Saccharomyces cerevisiae S288C: one gene and its partners. The gene in region 3 interacts genetically with the main gene of each other region. Each region holds a gene or a part of one and is shown on either strand. Other genes may lie near its edges. The genes, in order: STU1, SCS2, LDB18 and CLB4.

The links.
Region 1: mutations in LDB18 (region 3) and STU1 together harm fitness more than expected from each alone (negative genetic interaction), as found in Saccharomyces cerevisiae (4 studies listed by BioGRID, with this or other methods).
Region 2: mutations in LDB18 (region 3) and SCS2 together harm fitness more than expected from each alone (negative genetic interaction), as found in Saccharomyces cerevisiae (4 studies listed by BioGRID, with this or other methods).
Region 4: mutations in LDB18 (region 3) and CLB4 together harm fitness more than expected from each alone (negative genetic interaction), as found in Saccharomyces cerevisiae (4 studies listed by BioGRID, with this or other methods).

What each region holds. Positions count from the first base shown.
Region 1 is NC_001134.8:152,364-161,423, reverse strand, and holds STU1 (Stu1p), read left to right. Parts: upstream 1-3,034; coding exon 3,035-7,576; downstream 7,577-9,060. Other genes in the region: HEK2 (Hek2p), read right to left, coding at 95-1,240; RIB1 (GTP cyclohydrolase II), read left to right, coding at 1,731-2,768; DNA-directed DNA polymerase alpha subunit POL12, read left to right, coding at 7,814-9,060.
Region 2 is NC_001137.3:398,005-403,411, forward strand, and holds SCS2 (phosphatidylinositol-binding protein SCS2), read left to right. Parts: upstream 1-3,130; coding exon 3,131-3,865; downstream 3,866-5,407. Other genes in the region: osmosensor SHO1, read right to left, coding at 1-1,051; AVT6 (aspartate/glutamate transporter), read right to left, coding at 1,492-2,838; YER121W (uncharacterized protein), read left to right, coding at 4,371-4,715; GLO3 (ADP-ribosylation factor GTPase-activating protein), read right to left, coding at 4,867-5,407. UniProt on the Saccharomyces cerevisiae protein: Acts as an endoplasmic reticulum (ER) membrane anchor for cytoplasmic proteins via binding to the FFAT motif of targeted proteins. Regulates phospholipid biosynthesis by modulating the subcellular localization of the transcriptional repressor OPI1.
Region 3 is NC_001144.5:37,605-42,881, forward strand, and holds LDB18 (Ldb18p), read left to right. Parts: upstream 1-3,061; coding exon 3,062-3,601; downstream 3,602-5,277. Other genes in the region: FRE6 (putative ferric-chelate reductase), read right to left, coding at 1-1,867; COF1 (cofilin), read right to left, coding at 2,200-2,617, 2,797-2,810; bile acid-transporting ATPase YBT1, read right to left, coding at 3,676-5,277. UniProt on the Saccharomyces cerevisiae protein: May be involved in protein-linked oligosaccharide phosphorylation since the deletion reduces the negative charge of the cell surface.
Region 4 is NC_001144.5:559,545-563,890, reverse strand, and holds CLB4 (B-type cyclin CLB4), read right to left. Parts: upstream 1,884-4,346; coding exon 501-1,883; downstream 1-500. Other genes in the region: ATG38 (Atg38p), read left to right, coding at 1-99; PNP1 (purine-nucleoside phosphorylase), read left to right, coding at 2,159-3,094; GTPase-activating protein SEC13, read right to left, coding at 3,447-4,340. UniProt on the Saccharomyces cerevisiae protein: Essential for the control of the cell cycle at the G2/M (mitosis) transition. Interacts with the CDC2 protein kinase to form MPF. G2/M cyclins accumulate steadily during G2 and are abruptly destroyed at mitosis.

The DNA of each region.
Region 1 (9,060 bases), on a different chromosome or scaffold from region 3:
AAAAATACAGTTTAAACTAGTAATGATGCAACATTATTCGTTAAGATGATAGTTTGTTTTGTCTGTGTGGGACGTGCGCACGCACACGTATATACTACGACTGCTCCTCTTTGTTATCATGATTCTCTTGAGGTTCTTCCTTCTCTTCCAAGAAAGAAGCAGAATCAGAGCGTTCAGTAACAACAGTGGCATCTCCTTCGGCAGCTTCCAATTTTCTCTTGTAGTTTTCACGTTTCTCAATTTCAGTATTCAGGTTCTTCAAAAGCATGGACTCAGCAAGTTTGACATTCTTAGGAAATTTACTTGTGATTATGAATTTTCTAAAATTTTCGTCTTTATCATCGTCATCCTTCCTTTCCACGACAATATTGGTTTTTGTGAAAGTTTTCAAATTCTTAATTCTGTTCATTCCACGGCCAATAATGGCGCCTACATACAGTTCTGGAATCTTCAATTCGATCCTAGTGTTAGATGAGGTAGAAGGGGAAGTTGGCTCACCGGAGGACTTTTTCAGATGAGGGAAATAAGATCTTTCTGTGCTGAATCTGACGTCAACGTCACTCAAGATGATCTCGCTAATTTCGATAAGTACATTGGTGATGGATCCTGGGAAACCCTGGATCTCGATAATTCTCTCGTCGCTAGCAGGTAAGAAGTCCTTGGAAGCCACGATCTTAACGCCGTGCTTATTGATCAGGGACTTGATGGTGGCGCCTGCTTTCCCGATAATCGATGAGATATGGGAATTGGCCACAATGAGCCTCACATAACCGATGTCCTCCAGTTGCTGCAGATCTCTGATCTCGTCCTTTGAGGGAGCTGGTAAAATATGGTTCAAAAAGTGGAAGTAGTAGTGCTCTTCCGCTTCGCCCTCAGCTGCGTCCTCATTTTCGGGATTCCGTTTGTTAAGCACGTCAACAATATCACCAATGGCATTGGCCACATTGATTACGTTCCCAGCACAGGACAGGATCCTGTCAGAGCAACCGGGCACCTTTTCAGAAATACCGATCTTGACGGCGTTTGCAGCTCTTATGCGTGAGATGGTGGAGCCCTTAGTGCCAATGATCTTGGCAGCCTCTTTCAATGACAGCAAAAGCCTGTGATTGATGGTGGGTTGAGCGGTGGTGCCAACAACGGGGGCGCCGCCAGTGGCGGCGCTGCCGGCATCACTGGAGCCGCCGTTGGTATTGTTTGTGGGAATTGCAACGGGAGTAGCAGCTTCGAAGAACTGTGACATGGCTGGTATATATACTAATGCTGTCTCTAAGTTACCCGATAAGTTGATGCTTTGTTGTACAGGGGACGCGCGATAGGAGTGGGGAGCAATATGCTTTTACTTCGTATGCCAAGTAGTTATATATGCTCGGGTACTTATGCTCCAGATTATAGTCTTGTTTGTTGTTTGGCTGAGCGGCCGGACACACAGAAAAAAAACAAAAGGGCTTTCGTTAAAAGGGATAGGGTAATGTCTAGACTTAGCATAGGGCTAAAACAGAAATAGTAGGGTCTATACCGTTTTTGAAAACAAGTTGTGTAGGGTGAGACTTTTTCTTTTTCCTTTGAGTTTTTCTTTTTCTTTTTACGATTTGTCAGAAATTAGTCGGACGCTCTTGTGGGGTGAGCGCCAGCGCCGCTATAGTATATATAAAGAAGTTGCTGTGCTGGCGTGGACAATAATTGAGTCATTACAAAAAGTGGCGTACATAAAACTACAACAAACCTACAGGATGACCATAGATAACTACGACAACAGTAAACAGGATAGCAGCAAATACGAGGTTAGTGGTACGGGTGATGGCAGGAACGGCGATGGCGGCTTGCCTCTAGTACAATGTGTCGCAAGAGCTCGTATCCCAACCACACAGGGTCCGGATATCTTTTTACATCTTTACAGTAACAACAGGGACAACAAGGAACATCTAGCCATTGTGTTTGGTGAAGACATACGGTCGCGCTCGCTATTCCGTAGAAGACAGTGCGAGACGCAACAAGATAGAATGATCAGGGGCGCTTATATTGGCAAACTGTATCCCGGCAGAACTGTGGCAGACGAAGACGATAGACTCGGATTAGCTCTGGAGTTTGATGATAGTACAGGTGAGTTATTAGCTTCCAAAGCCACTACATGGGACGCCCATAACGACACGCTGGTACGGATCCATTCTGAATGTTACACCGGTGAAAACGCATGGAGCGCCCGTTGTGATTGTGGTGAACAATTCGATAGGGCCGGTAGGCTTATCGCTTGCGACCACGAACCCACAAGCAACATCAAAGGTGGAAACGGCCATGGTGTTATCGTGTATCTAAGACAAGAGGGTCGTGGCATCGGGTTAGGTGAGAAACTCAAGGCCTACAACCTGCAAGACTTAGGTGCTGACACAGTGCAGGCCAACTTAATGCTGAAACATCCCGTGGATGCTAGGGACTTCTCGCTGGGTAAGGCTATTTTGCTGGATCTTGGCATCGGTAATGTCAGGCTGCTGACAAATAACCCGGAAAAGATAAAACAGGTAGATCATGCGCCTTACCTTAAGTGCGTTGAACGAGTGCCTATGGTACCCATACACTGGACAAACTCCAGTGAAGGCATAGACTCCAAGGAGATAGAAGGTTATCTCAGGACCAAGATAGAAAGAATGGGTCATTTACTAACGGAGCCTCTGAAACTTCATACAAACCCTCAACCTACTGAGACAAGTGAAGCCCAAAACCAAAACCGTATGAACTCTGCGTTGTCATCAACATCGACGCTGGCAATATAAACACAAGTGTAGCATAATTATTAGTACATATAGTGCTTTTTTTGTAATGAAACGAAAATACCATGTTATTTTAATGCGTTACCCCGTCGGCGCGTATTGGCGCATTAACATCTTTATAGAAAATCAAATTATTTACTTATTTATTCTAAAACGCTAAACATCTATTTATTTACATTTGAGGTTGAAACTTCCCTTCATCCGATTGACAGGCATATTTAGCGGTAATTATTAGGGTTTTTGGAGAGACCTTGTATTCTTCAGAAATAATGTCGTCCTTCAACAATGAGACCAATAATAACAGCAACACTAATACACATCCAGACGATTCCTTCCCTTTGTATACCGTATTCAAGGACGAGTCTGTACCCATCGAGGAAAAAATGGCACTGCTTACACGGTTCAAAGGACATGTAAAAAAGGAACTAGTTAACGAATCGTCGATCCAAGCTTATTTCGCTGCGTTACTGTTCATCTCCGGCCATTACGCTTACCGTTCGTACCCGCGGTTAATCTTCCTATCACATTCCTCGCTTTGTTACCTTATCAAACGTGTGGCCATGCAGTCTCCAGTACAATTCAATGACACTCTAGTTGAGCAATTACTAAACCACTTAATTTTCGAGTTGCCTAATGAGAAGAAATTTTGGCTGGCTTCCATTAAAGCCATTGAAGCCATTTATTTGGTTAATCCATCGAAGATCCAAGCTATTCTAGCAAATTTCTTGCGAAGACCAAGTGAAAACCAAAACGGAGATTACCTGAATAGGATAAAATCTACATTATTGACCATCGATGAGTTGATCCAGATCAACGAGAAAAATAATTCAAATCATTTGCAACTACTGAGGTTTTTCATGCTGTCTTTCACCAACCTTTTAAATAACAACCTAAATGAACACGCAAACGATGATAACAATAATGTAATAATAGAGCTTATTTTCGATATAATGTACAAGTATTTGAAAATGGATGACGAAAATTCACAGGATCTGATAGATGGATTTATTAACGATTTAGAAGTTGAGAAATTCAAGCAAAAATTCATAAGTTTAGCAAAGTCACAGGACCAGCATGGTTCACAAGAAGATAAATCGACCTTGTTTGACGAAGAGTACGAGTTTCAATTACTATTAGCCGAAGCGAAATTGCCGCAGTTATCAAACAACTTGAGCAGTAAAGACCCAGCGATGAAAAAAAACTATGAGTCTTTGAACCAATTACAACAAGACTTGGAGAATTTGTTGGCACCGTTCCAAAGTGTAAAGGAAACAGAACAAAATTGGAAGCTAAGGCAATCAAATATAATTGAATTAGACAACATTATATCCGGCAACATTCCCAAAGATAATCCAGAGGAATTTGTCACTGTAATAAAGGAGGTGCAGTTGATTGAGTTGATTTCAAGAGCTACCTCGTCGTTGAGGACAACGTTATCATTAACTGCATTACTTTTCCTCAAGAGGCTAATCCATATCCTAAACGATCAGTTGCCCCTATCAATATTGGACCAAATATTTGTCATTTTCAAGAACTTGTTATCATCTACCAAGAAAATCTCTTCACAAACTGCATTTCATTGTTTAATTACTTTGATCATTGATATAAATCATTTCCATAATAAACTATTCCAATTATCTTTTTTATTAATAAATGAGAAAACCGTAACACCGAGATTTTGCTCTGCAATACTGCTGCGTAGCTTCCTGATTAAGTTCAACGACTCCAATCTTTCGCTCAACAATTCAAATACAACTTCGCCAACCTCAAAGTTGGAGAATAACATCATATACATCGAAGAATGGCTAAAAAAGGGCATTTCAGATTCACAGACAACCGTTAGAGAGGCAATGAGGTTAACTTTTTGGTATTTCTACAAATGTTATCCTACAAATGCCAAAAGATTATTGAGTTCTTCCTTTTCTCCACAGTTGAAAAAAGCAACAGAATTGGCAATCCCTGCTCATTTGAATATAAACTATCAAGTTTCCAGGGTGTCCTCTACTGCCTCCGCCTCCTCTGCAACGTCTCGATTGTACTCTCACTCTTCGAATAATTCTTCAAGAAAAACCAGTTTACTGGAGCAGAAAAGGAACTATCCAAGTTATGCCCAACCGACTCAATCTTCCTCCACCTCCCTACTCAACGCTCCTGCAGTCACAGCTGGTGGAAGTGTCATAGCCAGTAAACTATCAAATAAGCTGAAAACAAACTTAAGGTCTACTAGTGAATATTCAAGTAAAGAAAATGAAAAAAGGGCAAGGCATCATGACAGTATGAACTCTGTTTCAAACAGCAACACCAAAGATAATAATAATGTTACTAAAAGAAAAGTTAGTGCCCCTCCTTCTTCTACTGCCGCCACAAAAGTATCTGAAAATTACACAAATTTTGATGACTTTCCGTCAAACCAAATCGACTTGACTGATGAGTTATCAAATAGTTACTCTAACCCGTTGATAAAGAAATATATGGATAAAAATGATGTTTCGATGTCATCTTCTCCAATCTCATTAAAAGGCAGTAATAAACTTGGTGAATATGAAACCCTTTACAAAAAATTCAATGATGCTTCGTTTCCAGCTCAGATCAAAGATGCTTTACAGTATTTACAAAAGGAGTTACTGTTGACATCGCAACAGTCATCATCAGCCCCAAAATTTGAATTTCCCATGATTATGAAAAAGCTACGCCAAATTATGATAAAGTCACCAAATGATTTCAAGCCATTTTTGAGTATAGAGAAGTTTACAAATGGAGTTCCCTTAAATTACCTCATTGAGCTATATTCTATTAATAGTTTTGATTACGCGGAAATCTTAAAGAATAGAATGAATCCTGAAAAGCCCTACGAGCTTACTAACTTGATTATAACTATCGCGGATTTATTCAATTTCTTGAATGCCAATAATTGTCCGAATGATTTCAAACTATACTATATGAAATACAAAACCACTTTTTTCAATTATAATTTCAAGTTACTTTTAGAGATTTTCCGTAACTTGAACATAAAACATGATAACACTCTGAGGTCAGGAACGAACGATCTCATGCCTAAAATATCAATGATACTCTTTCAAATCTACGGTAAAGAGTTTGACTACACATGTTATTTCAATCTAATTTTTGAAATTTATAAATTCGATAATAATCGTTTTAATAAATTGCTAGCTGATTTTGACATTGTATCTACCAAGATGAAAATCTGTCATGAACTTGAAAAGAAGGATGCCAACTTTAAGGTAGAAGACATCATTTCTAGAGAAAGTTCTGTAAGCTTCACTCCCATCGACAATAAAAAATCTGAAGGGGATGAGGAATCCGACGATGCTGTAGACGAAAATGATGTTAAGAAATGCATGGAAATGACAATGATTAATCCCTTCAAAAACTTGGAAACTGATAAAACACTAGAGTTGAAGAATAACGTTGGAAAAAGAACATCAAGCACAGACAGCGTAGTTATTCATGATGATAATGACAAAGATAAAAAGCTTTCAGAAATGACGAAAATAGTAAGTGTTTATCAACTGGACCAGCCAAACCCAGCAAAGGAGGAAGATGATATAGATATGGAAAATTCTCAAAAATCTGATTTGAATTTAAGTGAAATTTTTCAAAACAGTGGTGAAAATACCGAAAGGAAATTGAAGGACGATAATGAACCAACAGTAAAATTCAGTACAGATCCTCCAAAGATAATAAATGAGCCAGAAAAACTTATTGGAAATGGGAATGAGAATGAAAAGCCTGATTTGGAAACAATGTCACCAATCAAAATAAACGGGGACGAGAATATGGGTCAAAAGCAAAGGATCACAGTAAAGAGAGAAAGAGACGTAGCACTAACTGAACAAGACATAAACTCCAAAAAGATGAAACTAGTTAATAACAAAAAATCAGAGAAGATGCATTTGCTTATCATGGATAATTTCCCAAGGGATTCCTTGACTGTATATGAAATTAGTCATCTTTTAATGGTTGATTCTAATGGCAACACTTTGATGGATTTTGATGTCTATTTCAATCACATGTCAAAGGCAATAAACAGGATAAAAAGTGGATCGTTCACTATGAAACATATAAATTACCTGATCGAACCCTTGATTACTTGTTTTCAAAATCAAAAAATGACCGATTGGTTGACGAATGAAAATGGTTTTGATGAACTACTGGATGTTGCTATTATGCTTTTGAAATCTACTGATGACACGCCTTCAATTCCATCAAAAATATCCAGTAAGTCCATAATTCTCGTTCATTGTCTTTTGGTTTGGAAAAAGTTTCTAAATACACTAAGCGAGAATGCCGACGATGATGGCGTTTCGGTGAGAATGTGTTTCGAAGAAGTATGGGAACAGATCCTTTTAATGCTTAATAAATTTTCTGATTATGGAAACGAAATCTATAAATTAGCGCAAGAGTTCAGGGACAGTCTAATGTTATCGCACTTTTTCAAAAAACATTCGGCAACAAGAATTCTAAGCATGTTGGTTACTGAAATTCAGCCTGACACCGCTGGTGTGAAAGAAACATTTTTAATTGAGACCTTATGGAAGATGCTGCAATCTCCTACCATTTGCCAACAATTCAAGAAATCTAATATATCAGAGATTATCCAAACAATGAGCTATTTCATTATGGGGACTGATAATACTTCGTGGAACTTCACCAGTGCCGTGGTATTAGCTCGTTGTTTGAGAGTCCTCCAAACTACTCCAGATTATACTGAGCAAGAAACCGAACGATTATTCGATTGTTTGCCTAAGAATGTCTTTAAAATGATCATGTTCATCGCCTCAAACGAATAGAGAATAGCGTGGTAGACGCGTAATTTTTTTTTACCGTGACGCGTCTCACCAGAGTTTCTTAGTTCTTTCTCTTTTCTAAAACTGTAATAATATGAGCTCTTTGTAGACACATATAACATTTTGTTTCATATACATAATATATTTGCATATAAAAATATCAAGATAATTGATTGTCAATTGGTTCAACAAAGCTTGAAGGTAAATTTAGGCAGGAGCAAGTGACTGAAAAAAAAAAAAATGAGCGGATCTATCGATGTCATCACTCATTTTGGGCCTGATGCAGACAAGCCGGAAATCATCACTGCATTAGAGAATTTAACTAAACTGCATGCATTGTCCGTCGAGGATCTATACATTAAATGGGAGCAGTTCTCCAATCAAAGGCGTCAAACTCACACAGATCTGACTTCCAAGAACATAGATGAGTTTAAACAATTTTTACAATTACAAATGGAAAAGCGTGCTAACCAAATTTCATCGTCCTCTAAGGTAAACACATCCACAAAAAAACCAGTGATTAAAAAAAGTTTGAATTCAAGTCCCTTGTTTGGCCTTAGTATTCCAAAGACTCCGACTTTAAAAAAAAGAAAGTTACATGGTCCCTTTTCACTCAGTGATTCCAAGCAAACATATAATGTAGGCTCTGAGGCAGAAACAAATGAAAAAGGAAATAGTTCTTTAAAATTGGAGTTTACTCCAGGCATGGCAGAAGATGCTGTGGGTGACAGTGCTCCATTGTCCCACGCTAAAAGCTCGGATGCCAAGACTCCCGGCTCGTCGACATTCCAAACTCCAACAACAAACACTCCTACCACATCGAGGCAAAATGTTCCTGCTGGTGAAATTTTGGATTCTTTGAACCCTGAAAATATTGAAATATCATCTGGTAATCCAAATGTAGGCCTTCTTTCGACTGAAGAACCATCATATAACCAGGTCAAAGTAGAACCATTTTATGATGCTAAAAAGTATAAATTCAGAACAATGAGGCAAAACTTACAGGAAGCGTCTGATGTCCTCGATGATCAAATTGAATCGTTTACTAAGATTATTCAAAATCACTATAAGTTATCTCCAAACGACTTCGCTGATCCAACTATTCAATCTCAGTCCGAAATTTATGCTGTTGGAAGGATAGTTCCAGATTCGCCGACCTACGACAAGTTTTTGAATCCAGAATCGCTTTCCCTAGAGACCTCAAGAATGGGCGGCGTTGGAAGAAGGGTAAGGTTAGATCTATCGCAGGTCAACGAGCTTTCGTTTTTCTTAGGCCAAATTGTGGCATTCAAAGGTAAAAATGCTAATGGGGATTACTTCACCGTTAACTCTATTTTGCCGCTACCTTATCCAAACTCCCCAGTGTCCACATCGCAGGAACTGCAGGAGTTTCAAGCAAATTTGGAAGGTTCTTCTTTGAAGGTTATCGTGACCTGTGGCCCATACTTTGCAAATGATAACTTCTCCCTCGAATTGTTGCAAGAATT
Region 2 (5,407 bases), on a different chromosome or scaffold from region 3:
TAATACCTGTTTCACCGTTTGCCCTTCTTGCCTTCCACCATCTGCCTTCAATGTCAGAGACTTGTAGGATTTCATTTTGTTCAAATGAGATTTCGTAAGCATCATCGTCATCAGCGTCGTATGGGTACAGTGCTTTTGCCTTGTAAATGAAATTATCATCACCGATATCGCTATACAGACCCAAAGTGTCTCCCATCGTAGTTTCCGTATTGCCATTTGAAAAATCAGTATCGAACGTATTACCTATATTAGTATTGGTTTGATTATTGCTATTATCATTGGTTTCCTTCGCGTTGCTTGCGCTATTGATACGTTGTTGTAGAGTGTTCAAGTGAAGATTAACGGCTTCTGAAGTATTTGGCTGAGTATTCTCAAAACCAGCCAATGCCGTAGAAGATACATAATTTGTGTGAGAAGGTTGCTGCTGTGGATATCCATCAAACTGTGTCGCGTAGCCTGAGTCTCGTATAGCATCATTATAGACATTATTTTGGTAAGGCGTTGTGTTCCTATTGCCTCTTCGACGAGCTCTATGAAGAGAATTCTCTAATGGCGAAGGCCTGATACCCTTAATGGAAAACGAATCAATCCATCTATTGGTTGGGGAAGCATTATCACCGCCGTAGTACAGAATCCAGATTAAATTTATGATGGAAAGTAAGATGACACCTGCTGAAGCAGCAGCTTTCTTGGGACCATCCGCATACACTAAATTCGTTGCACTGTTTGTATTATACACAAATGCCACTGCAATAGATGTGGTGATGAAGATTCTGTAATGATCGACTAAATCAAAACAATAGAACAGCATTAAAGAACAAATAATTAGAAATTGGTATACTATACCCCACCAAGTAAAACGTGGGAAGGATTCATTGGTGGATGCAGATGAGATGGAGCCCCCGATGGCGATGACCCACGATACAATTGCCAAAGAAATTGATGATATAGCGAAAGGATCGGCATAAAATTTTTTCATTTTAAAAGAATGGTCGGTAGCCATACGTGAAGGTTTACGAGGAGTTGGTCTTATCTTTGATGATATTGACATATTTTGAAAACGTGATTTTTGGTGTTTCTGAAAAGATGGCGTTGATCTATAATGTCCAATGTTGTTTTCAAATTATTGGGTTGGCTACTGTTAATAACACGCCCTTTCTTTTAGCGATTCTGTTGAGCAAAGAAAGCTGATATGATAGACAATGATACCTCACTGAAAACGAGGCTCAATGACTTTATTCGTGTTCCTGTGTTCTTTGCATATTTCAGCAATCGCTGAAATTTTTATAATACGTATGAAGCAAAAGCCCGACTCCGAAAGCTGTTGTGTGTAAATAGATTGAACGCGTTGGGAATGTAAAACGCGATTAAGAATTTCTGATTTAACGCAGGTGCTAGGTTATTAATAGTTTCTTACGCGGATATGTAGGTTCAAGGGTCTATGTACGTATGGAGGAATAGCAAAAAAAGAATGAGTATACTCTTGCTTATTTAGTTTAGCTTCAAAGCTGCGGTCAGGCAGGTGATCATGATTATTAGCCCCCAGATAAACAAGAGAAGACCTGTGTATTTGAAAATCTTTGTCGTCAATGGCACGGCTGTCTTGTGCTCAGTTCCTATAAGCTTGTAGCCAAAGAGCCCGGGCAGAATGAAAGAAATAGAAGTGGAGCCTGTGGCCCCAACAATGGCCAGTACACGGGCCAAGGAGGAAACCGAAATGGCGACAAGATATGATGCAACTAAAATGCTGCACGTTATAACAATAAAGCTCTTGCCTCTCAATGGAGTCTCCTTAGGCTGATAAATAGATTCTTCTTCAATTACCTCATTGAGGTCAAGGCTACTGTCGCGAATCAACGGAGAACTTTCGGTAGCAACAGTGGGTTCATCCGCCGATGTAGCACTTATACTTACATTTTCCTCGGCGAAGTGTTGCAAAATCTGATGGATTGAAGCTCTTGCAGGATGACACTGTAGTGGGAACGCCAGCATCACCAACAACACAATCGCTATTCTGCCGATGGTGCTCGAGACCGCTTGCGGGTACAGCATGATAATGTTTCCAATGATGTTGTCGCCGAATGTCAGGTATCCAGCACAGCCGATCGCAATATATAAGATGAGAGCCAAAGATATTGCTATCAGTGGAATCTTCATCACATGCTCGAACCGGCTTGACCTCTGCTCATTGATTATTGAAAACATATTGTGGTGACATGTGTAGGCAAAGACAAAAATTGGAAGAGTGTTTAGCACGTTCAAATCATGCGATTGTGGTGGCAGGAGGTAGGAGATCCGGCCTTTCAAGCGAAGAATCTCATCTGATGGTGCTACATAGTGCAACAACACCAAAACACACAAGTACGCTACAGAAGAGATGGCCACCATGGAAGCGTACCTCAACGAATTCAACTTCTTCAGAAAAGACAGCGGGGCCACGAAAAAAAGCATGATCAGTGAAATTTGCACGTTCCTGTTCAACAGCCAAGCATTTCTGGTCCACACAGACATTATTTGGGGCATCAGATCCCCAACTACAATCATATAAGAGACGCCCACACCAAAACACTTGATAGCGATCGCTAGGTCAAACACAATACCTAGATTTGGGTTAATCAACCGCGTCAGAGCACTGAACGAGGCCCTCCCCTGTGGTACGTATTTAGCTACACGAGCTTGTATGAACAAGCTTTGCATAGCGCACGCCCCACACAGCACTATCATTATCACTCCAGGAATTAATCCAAACGGCTTGAATGCGTACGGCATGGCCAGGATACCAGCACCGCACGCCGTGTGTAAAAGTGTCAGCACACCTGATCTAATACTAGCTACCATATGATGCACGATTCCTTTCTATGGTTATTGAGCTGTGAAACTAACCCGTCGTTCGACCATTGTTGTTCTATATACTTCTAGTTGCTGTATAGATAAGCTCTCCGATCCCCTAAACGTGCGTGGTGATCTTACTCTTTCGCCCTCGCTTTTTTTTTTTCGCTTGTTGTTTTCGCAAGGTGAATAGAATGGTTTTAGTAGCAAAGTGCATTGTTTATTGTGTGGTGTGGTTTGACGCACATTCTGTGTTAATAGTGTAGCAGAAGGGTATTCTACAATCTCCGCGAACCTAAGTATGTCTGCTGTTGAAATTTCCCCTGACGTGTTGGTGTATAAGTCTCCATTAACGGAGCAATCGACAGAATACGCTAGTATTTCCAACAATTCAGACCAAACCATTGCATTTAAGGTCAAGACCACAGCCCCAAAGTTTTACTGCGTGAGACCAAACGCCGCAGTTGTTGCTCCAGGTGAAACAATCCAGGTTCAAGTTATCTTCCTGGGTTTGACTGAAGAGCCTGCCGCAGACTTTAAGTGCCGTGACAAGTTCCTGGTTATCACGTTGCCTTCTCCTTACGACCTCAATGGCAAGGCTGTTGCAGATGTTTGGTCCGACTTGGAGGCTGAGTTCAAGCAACAGGCTATCTCTAAAAAGATAAAAGTCAAATATTTGATAAGTCCAGATGTACACCCAGCACAGAACCAAAATATACAGGAAAACAAGGAAACTGTTGAACCAGTAGTCCAAGACAGTGAGCCAAAGGAAGTGCCTGCTGTGGTAAACGAAAAGGAGGTCCCTGCTGAACCGGAAACTCAACCTCCCGTCCAAGTAAAGAAAGAAGAGGTCCCACCTGTCGTTCAGAAAACCGTTCCTCATGAAAATGAGAAGCAAACGTCCAACAGCACTCCGGCCCCACAGAACCAGATAAAGGAAGCCGCAACCGTACCTGCAGAAAATGAATCATCCAGCATGGGTATATTCATATTGGTTGCACTCCTTATCTTGGTTTTAGGATGGTTCTACAGATAATAGGGAGATTGAGGATATAGCTGTATTCTAAATATATATTTATATATGTGTGTGTTTTGCCCTTTCCTTCCTTTCAGTCTTTATTTTACTTTGTTTTTCTACAATCTTTTTTTATTGTTTCCTTCTGTAGCCTTTACAATACTAGAACAAGGAACTAAAAGATCATACTTTCCTAACTTTTTTATATGTTTTATTTTTTAAATAGGAGAATAATCGATAACTATACCACTGTTGTAACATATTACTTGTTTAATTTATTCATGTTCGGTTTCCCTAGTGTAGTAGGCGCTATCTTGGGCAAATAACTATCCGTTATTAACCATAACAATGCGGGGTCTACTAAATGAGGGGAGGGTCTTGGATGCACATTAACGAAGATCTTGCGAGGGGGTCGCGCCTAAAAGGTCCATAAATAAATGAATACATAAACAGCCACCTACTTTCAGTTTGTTTTTTGCTAGGTCTCATAGTGAACGAGGGACTCACATATTGACAATATAGTAACATGGGCTTATCGCGCTGGCACGACAAGAATTCAAGGCCAGCAGAGGAAAAGAGCGAAGAAATGCAACAGGATGCGCACTACTACGCCCTTGCGGCAAGTGATAGTTTAAATGCAAGTGTTTCTAACGAATATGGTAATCAAGTAATGAACTCGTTTTGGAAAGTGGGTATAGACTCTCCCTATGTGGACGATGAAGCAATTAGAAACAGAGATGTCGAAAATAACTTACCTTCTTTAAAGCAAAGTGTTTATAATGCTAATGAACCAAATGCTACCTCGTCTGCATTTTCAACCGCTTCATACGCACATGAAACTTTCGATTTTAGAAACCTTAAACTAAGATAAGGGGGGATGAAGAATAAGAATAAACGCACGTACAATGCATATACAACCGTTTCTATGTACCATAAATATAATTATCATATAATGAAAAATGAGAATAAAAAACAATGATAACAATGAAAAAAAAAAAATTCAATTAAAGAGAAAATTAAACTTATTTTCTTAAGTAGTCCCTTAAATAACTACCGAGTTTTTCAGCACCCTGTTCTACAACGTCTCTCAACATCTGCAATTCATCATCTGCGGAGGCATTAAAATCGATGAAACCGTTATTAGAATTACGGCCATCAAAATTCCCTGCTCCACTTCCACTACTATTGATGGGATTACCAAATTCATCCACTTCTTTATCTTCTCCAAAGTATGAAGAAGAGGAAATTGATGTAGCATTGTCAAATGTTTTCAACTTGTCATGCGCTTCCCTGTTTGCTGCTTCATCAAATGAGCCACGACCAAATAATTGATCAGATGATATAGCTTTTTGTGTGCCGTACCTTTCCGCGATTCTGCCCGTATATCTTGGTCCCTGAGCTATTTTCTGAGATTCTTTTTGTTGCTTTGCCAAATCATTGGCGTCATTCATGGTCATACCAAATCCCAATTTGGCAAACTTGGGTGTTAAAGTATCTTGCTGTTCTTTTCTAGTTGTGTCGAAGCTGTTTGAAGTGTCATTTAAAAAATCATTGAATTCATCA
Region 3 (5,277 bases):
CAGCTGTTTTCTGTGTAAGGTAAACCTGCACGTTGACGTGGGATCGGCTATTTTTTAGCTCTAGTATCTCGGATTTATAGCCGTTAAGAAAAGAAGGATTTTTGATCGCCATGATCAAATCTATACTCTTGGGTTTATCAGGGTTTCGTGACAGCTTAATGGCATGATCTAATGGACCAGGCAAGCCTGTTCCTCCACTTAGTAACAGCAAATGGTCGAATTTATCGAGGTGAAGATTACTGGGCCCATAAGGTCCCTCAATGGCCACTCGGAGTTGTAATTTACCATTTAAAGATTGCAAAATATGGTTATAAATGAATCTAGTGAGACCACTTTTAGGTTTGATCACTAAAACACACTTCTCACCTTCGTCGATAATGGTAAATGGATGGCATTGCCAAAATACCAATGGATGTAAAAAATAAATGAAACAATATTGACCCGGTTTCGAATGCCATCTCCGGTTATATTTGGGTATGATTACTTTAAACATTTCATCGTGCGGGTTGTTGCTGGTGTTCAAATTGATTAGTGTTGCTTTCGGAAATCTAAACTGCAAAATGTTCCATATTCTGAAAAGCTTTTCCAGCCCCCAAATGAGCAAGGATACCACTATCCATTCTTTCCAACCGTTGAAAATTTTGACGTGTTGCCAACAACAGTAAAAGAACAAAAGGGCTAGTATGATGTGGGTGTACAGGAAAAATTCGTAATGTCTTTTCCTTACTATTCCGAGCGATAGAACTAGTAGAACGCAAAGCACTGTTATGGATGCAATACCAAACTTCCAATAGAGCTGTTTGTTGCTTATTTTGAAGGCATGGTTGATAATTGCGAATAATGAATAAGAAAGCGAATGTATCGTTGCGTTTAAGACCATGATTCTACCGATCCATTTATGGAAACTAATAAAGGAATTGAACTTGACTCCTGTTAAAAATTCGAGAAAACTATTCCTTGCCGTAAAAATGATAATGAGAGGGAACTGAGTAAACGCCAGTATCCCAGATCTATCAGCCAACAGTCTTGTAAACTGCGACAGGTGACTGTTGAAAATGAGGTTATATGGGTCTATGATGTAACTTATGGACAAAAATATGATGTTCGCCAATGTGTATCCAAAAATGATCCATGCCTCCAAGGAATTCGGCATCAGTCCCGTAAAGACTTCCACGTTTAGAAACTTGAAGTGATTAGCGTGCTTATCTACTAAAAACGTAGGCAACACAAAATGGCCCCGAATATAATTGACGAACCGGCTTGCAAATAGCGCTCGATTCAGGCCGTTATAGTGACTCATATGGAAGAAGACGGCGATAATACCCACTATGACGAAGTAGTAAGTTAAATATGCACCATAAACACTGCTGATATCTAAATTATAGGCATGCGCATGAAAAGCTCGTATCCATCTAGATCTTGTCTCACGATCGACTCGAATGGATGTCGATAAACTTTCAATAGAACCATAGTCTTCCAAAGCGTGAGAAGAAGCATTATTTAAAGATGAGTAGTATTGCTCCAGTGAAATATTGCTAAACTTTTTATCGACAAACGAGCACGTTTTTCGTACGTTACCCAAGCTTTCTTCGAAACTTGTGTTGTCCATGGGAATAATCTGGTCTGTAAGCGAATTGAAGATACAAAGTGACCAAGTATCAAACGCTGGTGAATAAGAGCATATGGTAGAATAGAAACCCGGTACGACGGAGCTATCAAATGACCACTTCAGAGTATTTATATAGGATGCGCATGCCAGCACAGCGTTGGATTCCAAATGGTCTTTTTTTTCAGTGTGTGGTAATTTTATATTAAAAGCCTTTGTTAAAGATATCAGCCACGTTAAAAACAGAAGCGTTCTATGCATATTCAACGAGCTATGGTCGTCATGCTTCACTTTAGAAGATTATAGAAAAATCATTGCTGCCTGGTTCGATGACCTTGTATCTTTTCTTGATCTACATGGCCAGTATTTCCGTTCTGAATTTAGAATTACAAATATGGGTGCAAAAACAATGCCCACTAGCCGGGGTGTACGGGACCTTAAATCTAAGTATTGTGTTTTAGATAGAGTTGCGAAGAGAAAATTATAATTATAATAATTCTATACATGTATTCTGTATATATATGACGATTTTATATATAGATATACATTTTCATTTTTCTTGAAGATTGTTGTCATTTGTGAAATCATTTACCTTAATGAGAACCAGCGCCTCTGCTGACTCTTTCCAAAACAGAATCGTAAGAAACTTCGGAAAAATCAGTACCTTGAACATCGGTAGAGACACCGTTTAAGGCTCTTCTTAAGGCATCCTTGGAGGATGCATAGACCATCTTAGATCTGACTGGAGCAGTGTCTGGAGACCAAGTGAAGAAAACAATCTTGGATCTCTTACCTTCATTACCATTAATTTCGTATTCAAAATCGTAAATGGCGTAAAGACAGTCGTTTTCTGGCAATTTCTCTAAGAAGGCATCGTAAGATGGGTCAGTAGAGGTTTCCTTGACAACGATTTCGGTTTTAGCATCGTTCAATCCGAATAAAATAAATTTGTATTTTTTACCCAATTTCAAGTCATTGAAAGCGGTAAGGGATTCATCAGCAACAGCAACACTACACAGAAACTTCACATTTTCCTGGCTTCTTATGAATTTTTTCCCCCACATTCCTTTTAAAGTTCCATGTTAAAAAGGGAGGAAAGAAAGGACATAAGAGAGCGAGATAAAACAGCATCATGTCAATTAGTTAGTAATTGATAGTTTACACAGGAGTACAAATGAAATTTAGCATACCCAGATCTAGACATCTTCTTTTGTTAGTTTTTTGTTTATGTATGTTTTGAAATCTGAAGTTTACGTAGTTGCTAACCAGTCTTTTCTTGTTTCCTCTTTTTCTTCCAATTTTGTCATCAAACAGGGGCGGCGTCACCCGAATATTGTTCTTATTACCCGGATATTAGGTAATTTAGAGGTACTGCATATAGTATAAGTGATTGATGAACTTATAGAATGTTCTCTCGAGCTTCCAAGGCCATTAGCCTCTACCAAAGGAAGTTTGATGCCTGGTCTTAAGCTTGTTGAAGCTTTAGAATACAGGTGTGACCGATTGGAGCGGCTTATAGGCGCCGGATACAGCGCGAATTCCGATGTTTCAGTGCAATTAGATGAACTATACAATCAGTTACATCGTCTATATTTCCAGGGTCTAAAGTATTCTCAAGATCTCCTGCAACTCTTTAATACTTTCATGGCTGAAGACATCGAGAACGTGGGAGCTCCTGATGATATTTGTATTTTTGCTAGTTGCTTTGACGATATTTATACATTATATAGTGCATTTGACGAACTAAACAGCCAATATATGGAGTTTTGCCAAATCAGTAAAAGTTCATTGGATCAGATTTCCTTCAAAGACGCAAATATTGAAACGAAACAGTTGAAGAAGTTACCCGAGTTGGTGGATAACTGCAACATAATGATTTTGAGGTCAATTGCAATTCTAAACCGTTTCATCGACTGGAATATTGAAGTTAACGGATTCTTCCAGTTCCAGAAAAAGAGGCTGTTGAATTTACAAAAGGTAATTTATAGTACGTGAACATGTGTGCGTATATACATATATATATATATATATATATATATATATATATATATACTTTAGCATCGAAACAGCTAGTCCTTTTTAGAGTTCAATTTTTCCACAAAGGCTTTTTTAGCCAATTCAATTAGGATATCCAATTCTCCACTATGCTCACACATGCTATAAAAGGCACTTTGTTTGTTAAGTAACAAAGAATATGGGTGATCATACTCTTTTACCTCACCTGCATCCATCACCAAAATTTTATCATAATCGATAACAGATCTCAACCTATGTGCAATTGTCAAAATTGTACTACCTTGGAACTCTTTTCTTATGGTTTCTTGGATCTTCGCATCGGAACTGTAGTCGATGGACGCTGTAGCTTCGTCCAGCAATATGATCTTTGGACTCCTCAGTAAAGATCTAGCAAGGCACATCAATTGGCGCTGTCCTTGAGACAAATTGGATCCACCTTCGCTAATTTCACTACTTAAATCCAAGAATTTATTAACATTTTCGGAGTTAGTCGACGAAGCCTCATTGCTTGTTTCTCTTGTGGCGCCTTGTTGTAATTGTTCTTCACTAATTAGATTTACACGTTTCAAAGCTTCAAAGATCTGTCTGTCACTAAATTCATCATATGGGTCTAGGTTTGTTTTAATCGTCCCTGAGAATAGTGTTGGATCTTGTGGAATAATAGTTATAGAACGACGCAGTCTTTGTAAATCAACACCGGAAATATCGATATTATCAATTTTGATATGGCCTGTCTCAGGTTCCAAAAATCTGAACAAGGCGGTAATAATAGTTGATTTACCGGCACCGGTTCTACCAACAATACCGATCTTAGACTGAGCGTCGACAGAAAATGAAACATTTTTAATTACTCTAGGTAGATTTGGAGCATACCGTAATGATAAATCATTAACCTCGATTTTACCGTCTTGTGGCCATTGTGGTGGCGGTATTTCTTTGTGTTCGTTGTATGGCTCTTGCTCAATTTCCATATATTCTTTGACTCTTTCAACAGAATTCATATTCATCTCCACTTCAGAGTACAATCTTACCAACCACAATGCCCCTTCAGTGAAGGAAATAGCATACGTCAAAGATATACCAGCCATACCCGAATCCAGATTATTAATATTGAATAGAATGAACAAACCAGCTCCAAAAATGACCAAGGATCCAATCATATCTATCCTAAAGGCCAACCAACGATTAGCAACCCACAAGTAGAAGAATGGTTTATTATTTTCATCAATTTTGTGTAAATTCTCTTGCATAAACCTCCCTTCATCACCAAACGCACGAATGGTGGTAACACCGACAAGAGTCTCGGAAAAATGTTGATAGATCGGTGATCTAGAAATAGATTCAAATCTTTTCAATTCACGAGAACCTGCCATGTAGAAATACCCAACAAAATAATACAATATTGAAACAACTATAGCAACAGATAAGAACTGTGGAGTAATAAATGTAATCAGTATGACGGTGGATAAACATTCAATAAGCGAATAGAAGGCGCCTTGTATATAAGGTGTCAGTTCCTGATCAATAGCTTCGATATCCTTGGAAAACCTGTTCATAATTCTACCTGTTGGAGTAGCATCAAAAAATCTTATCTTGGAGTGTAAAACCTTGTTTAGAATCATATTAAATATCTTTCTTGACGCGTTGATACCAGC
Region 4 (4,346 bases), 520 kb from region 3:
GAAAATAAAAAATTGGCTAATGAAATTGGGCGATTAAGAGAACGCTGGGACAGCTTAGTAGAAAGTGCGAAGCAAAGAAGGGATAAGCAAAAAAACTAGACGAATAAGGTAATTTCTTTTCAAGATACGAAGTATCGTCTTTTAACTTAGTTGGAGTATGTGATTGCTGCTCTTCTACTGCGAATGCCGCTTACCTGGAGGCATAGGGCACATATATCAAACCCTCCAGAATTGAATTTTGCCCTGAGGCTGCTTGAAGATTGTCAAATAAAGATTCGGTCAAAAAGAGGATGATATAAACTTGGGTGGACCATCGGGGTGTTAACTGAAACGGAATCAAGGATGCATTCATATATATATCTATATATATATATATGTGTGTATATGTGTATGTGTGTGTGTGTGTGTGTGTGTAATATGATATATATCTTCTACCTGAATAAATGAAATATGATCCTTCCGAAACCAAAACTGAAGCAAATGGTGTTAAGATGAGTAAGTTAGGCTTCTGTCGAAACAATCCATTCTTCTACAATTTGAGAACAGCGGTAATGCTTTTGGTCAAAGTATTTTTTCCAAATTGAATGATGGCGTCGAGATGCGTTCTTGCAATTCTCCAATATCAGTGATGCTAAAGGAATTATTTGGCTGGATGTATAGCCAGAGTAGAATACATGTTTTAAAGACCAATCATTTGAACCAAGAATTGTTCTGCTCAGAAAATACGCGCCAGCAGCTAACCAGCTTGGTGCCGCAGCCACTAGTTTGGGTTCTACTATTGTAGTTTCCAATAAGTACTTTGCTAATGTTCTTGGTTCGAAGTCATAGTCATCTGCTTTACTTATCCTTCTTAAAAATGGCATGGGTCCTGGCCAACCTATTTCAAATTCCAGAGTATCTATCATATACTGTTCCGCTCTAATAATGTCATCTCTAGTGTATGTATTTTCCAGCATGTAAACTAGATCATCCAAAGTGGGGCAGTTAATCTCTTCAAACTTGGCAGCAATAAATAAAGCCGATACACCAACCAATTGAAACCTGTTCAAAGTAACGGTCTTCTTTGACAGAAATCTATCCACTATATTAATCGTCAGGTATAGCGTTTCTGGTAAAAGTTGAAATCTAAAATGCAGTTGAACTAGCCAATCTATCATAGTTCGTCTGAACGGCCATGTAAGCTCTACTTGATTTTGCATATAGTAGGGATTAGGCCTATATTTCACTTCAAGTTCTCTCAAGTAATAGAATATGTCGGAAGCGTACTCCACAACCATCACAACATCATGGGTATCATCATCCAGCGGATTGGGAACCGACCGAAAATATTTTTCAAACGCCCTGTCCAGCTCAGTCTGAATTTCATCGTTGTTTATTGGTGATAGTGGTTCAATTTGACTATCAACATCCTCTTCAATGACATCTTGCATTTCTCCATCGAAATCTTCATACACTTCATCGGCTTGAATCTGCTGATCATTTACTCTTCGACTTAACAAATCATCAATAGCATCTTCATTAACTTGTTCGTCATCAGTAGAAGAGCCTTCAGAACTATCAATTAAAAAATAGTCGCTATCTTCATGCCTTACGTCTCGTTGTTGTTCTTTTACCAAGGCCGATGAGCGTATGTTCTCTATTTCAAAATTGTTCTTCGTCTGATGGAATTTATTATGTATAGCATTGTGTATTTTGTTTGCCTTTTGAGAGGTTACATCACCTAATGCAACCCTCCTTTGTCTTTTTTCTAGCCTTTTTATACCCTTTTGAACTCCTTGGTAAAGTACGTTCTTAACTTCTTGGTTTGCATTTTCGTCCTGAATTTCAATGTCACCTATCAAAGTAGACTGTGGAGGTTGTACCGTATACCCTTCAAGCATCATCTGTCAATTTCCTTGTTTGATCAGGGCAGCCTAGTATCCGGTATAGTAAGCAGTTTCCCAAATACGACGTTAATTATCAAAGAATTAAAACTTTATGCGGCCACAATAAATAAATATCTTTCTGATGTTTCCATTGTTTTTGTTTTTGTTTCAGTGTTTACAAAGCGCAAAGAAAAGGAAAATCTCGAAGCAGAGGGCAGATAGGGCAGGCATAACTTTAGGATAATCTTGCTAATCTTCTAGAACACATGAGAAACTCCGAATAAACTTAAAAGATGAGTGATATCTTGAACGTAAGTCAACAACGTGAAGCAATTACCAAGGCCGCTGCGTATATTTCTGCTATTTTAGAACCACATTTCAAAAATACAACAAATTTCGAGCCTCCGAGAACTTTGATTATATGTGGTTCAGGGCTTGGTGGAATATCTACCAAGCTGTCTAGAGACAATCCACCCCCGGTAACAGTCCCATACCAAGACATCCCAGGATTCAAGAAAAGTACGGTTCCAGGTCATTCCGGTACACTAATGTTCGGATCTATGAATGGTTCACCAGTAGTATTAATGAATGGTCGTCTTCATGGATATGAAGGCAACACATTGTTTGAGACTACTTTTCCTATTAGAGTGCTTAACCACATGGGTCATGTTCGTAATTTAATTGTCACTAATGCCGCTGGTGGTATAAACGCGAAATATCAAGCCTGCGATTTGATGTGCATTTATGATCATTTAAATATCCCTGGCCTTGCTGGCCAGCACCCATTGAGAGGTCCTAACTTGGATGAAGATGGACCTCGTTTTTTAGCCTTGAGTGATGCATATGATCTGGAGTTGAGGAAGCTTTTATTTAAGAAATGGAAAGAGCTCAAGATTCAAAGGCCACTGCATGAAGGTACTTATACTTTTGTATCTGGACCCACTTTCGAAACAAGAGCAGAATCCAAAATGATAAGGATGTTGGGAGGAGATGCTGTCGGAATGAGTACTGTTCCCGAAGTCATTGTTGCAAGACATTGCGGATGGAGGGTTTTGGCCTTAAGTTTGATTACCAATACTTGCGTGGTGGATAGCCCTGCCAGTGCGTTGGACGAATCACCTGTACCCTTAGAAAAAGGCAAAGCGACTCACGCTGAAGTACTGGAGAATGGTAAAATCGCCTCTAATGACGTGCAAAACTTAATTGCTGCCGTAATGGGGGAATTATAATTGTTATAACTTAAATACCTCTATTTATTACATAGCGGGAAGATGTACCTTCGGCCGGTAGAATAATTTCGCCTGTTCTATTGAAGAAAAACAGTCTTATATATCTATTGTATATACGTCGATTATTTTTGTTCGCTTGTTTTTGTATAAGAAATATCTATGACAATATTAATATAAGAAGTTGCAAAAAAAAAACAAAGAAAAAAGTTGAAAAGTTTTTGAAAACTTCCACAAATCTTTAATTGTTATACGTTACTGTACATTATGCGTTTATTTCCCTTCAAATTCGTCGATAGACTCATTTGCATTCTTTTTTCTTTTGAGATGTTTCATTTTAAATTCTTGATACTCTTCACTGATGAACTTCACCAGCGGGTTCCCATTTACCCTCAAGATTTTCCTTCCATAAAGTAACTTTATTATCGCCACCGGAAAGAGCTAGTACATTACCTGACAAAGACCAACTGGCTCTCCATAAAACATCTGGGAATTTTTCTTCTTTTAATAAAGTTTTTTTCCATGGGCCTTGTTCATTGTCTTGAGTCCAAATAATACAGGTGCGATCTTGAGAAACACTGGCCAAATAAGAACGTAGAAGAACAGTAGGTGACCATGCTACGTCTCTAACCCAATCGCTGTGACCTTCTAAGGTGCTTTCCAGAACATAAGTTTGGGCATCTGAATTGTACTTCCAAATCTTTACCAAATTGTCAGCACCCCCAGTAACAAACTTGCGAGATTCTTTAGTACCGTTGTGTTCACCATCTTCTTCGATGGTAGCTGGAGCCCAAGAAGCAGAGTTAACGCCAATGGCATGAGCATCGATGATTATTGGGGAAGTAGTACCGTTTTCTTTGAACTCTACTACGGAGACCTTACCATCAGAGGAAGCAACCAGCAGTAGGGGGCCATATTCATGAGGAGCCCATTGAACAGAGTTGACAGAAGCAGAGTGGACAGCATGAACGGCAATTTGAGACCATCTACCGTTTTCTTCCTTCCAAATCAACACTTTACCATCATAAGAACACGATGCCAAAATGGTTCCGAATTTAGGATGTGCCCAATCAACACGCCAAACTGGGCCTTCGTGGCCAGTCAACGTGTCTATTAACTTGTGTGTTTCTCCTTCGACTTCAAAGATCTTGATTGTCTTGTCAGAAGAGCAGGTTGCAAGGCGCTTCCCATAATAGTCTAGAACAGCGTCATGGATTAATTCGTTGTGCGCATTAGCTATGACGACCATTTGTAT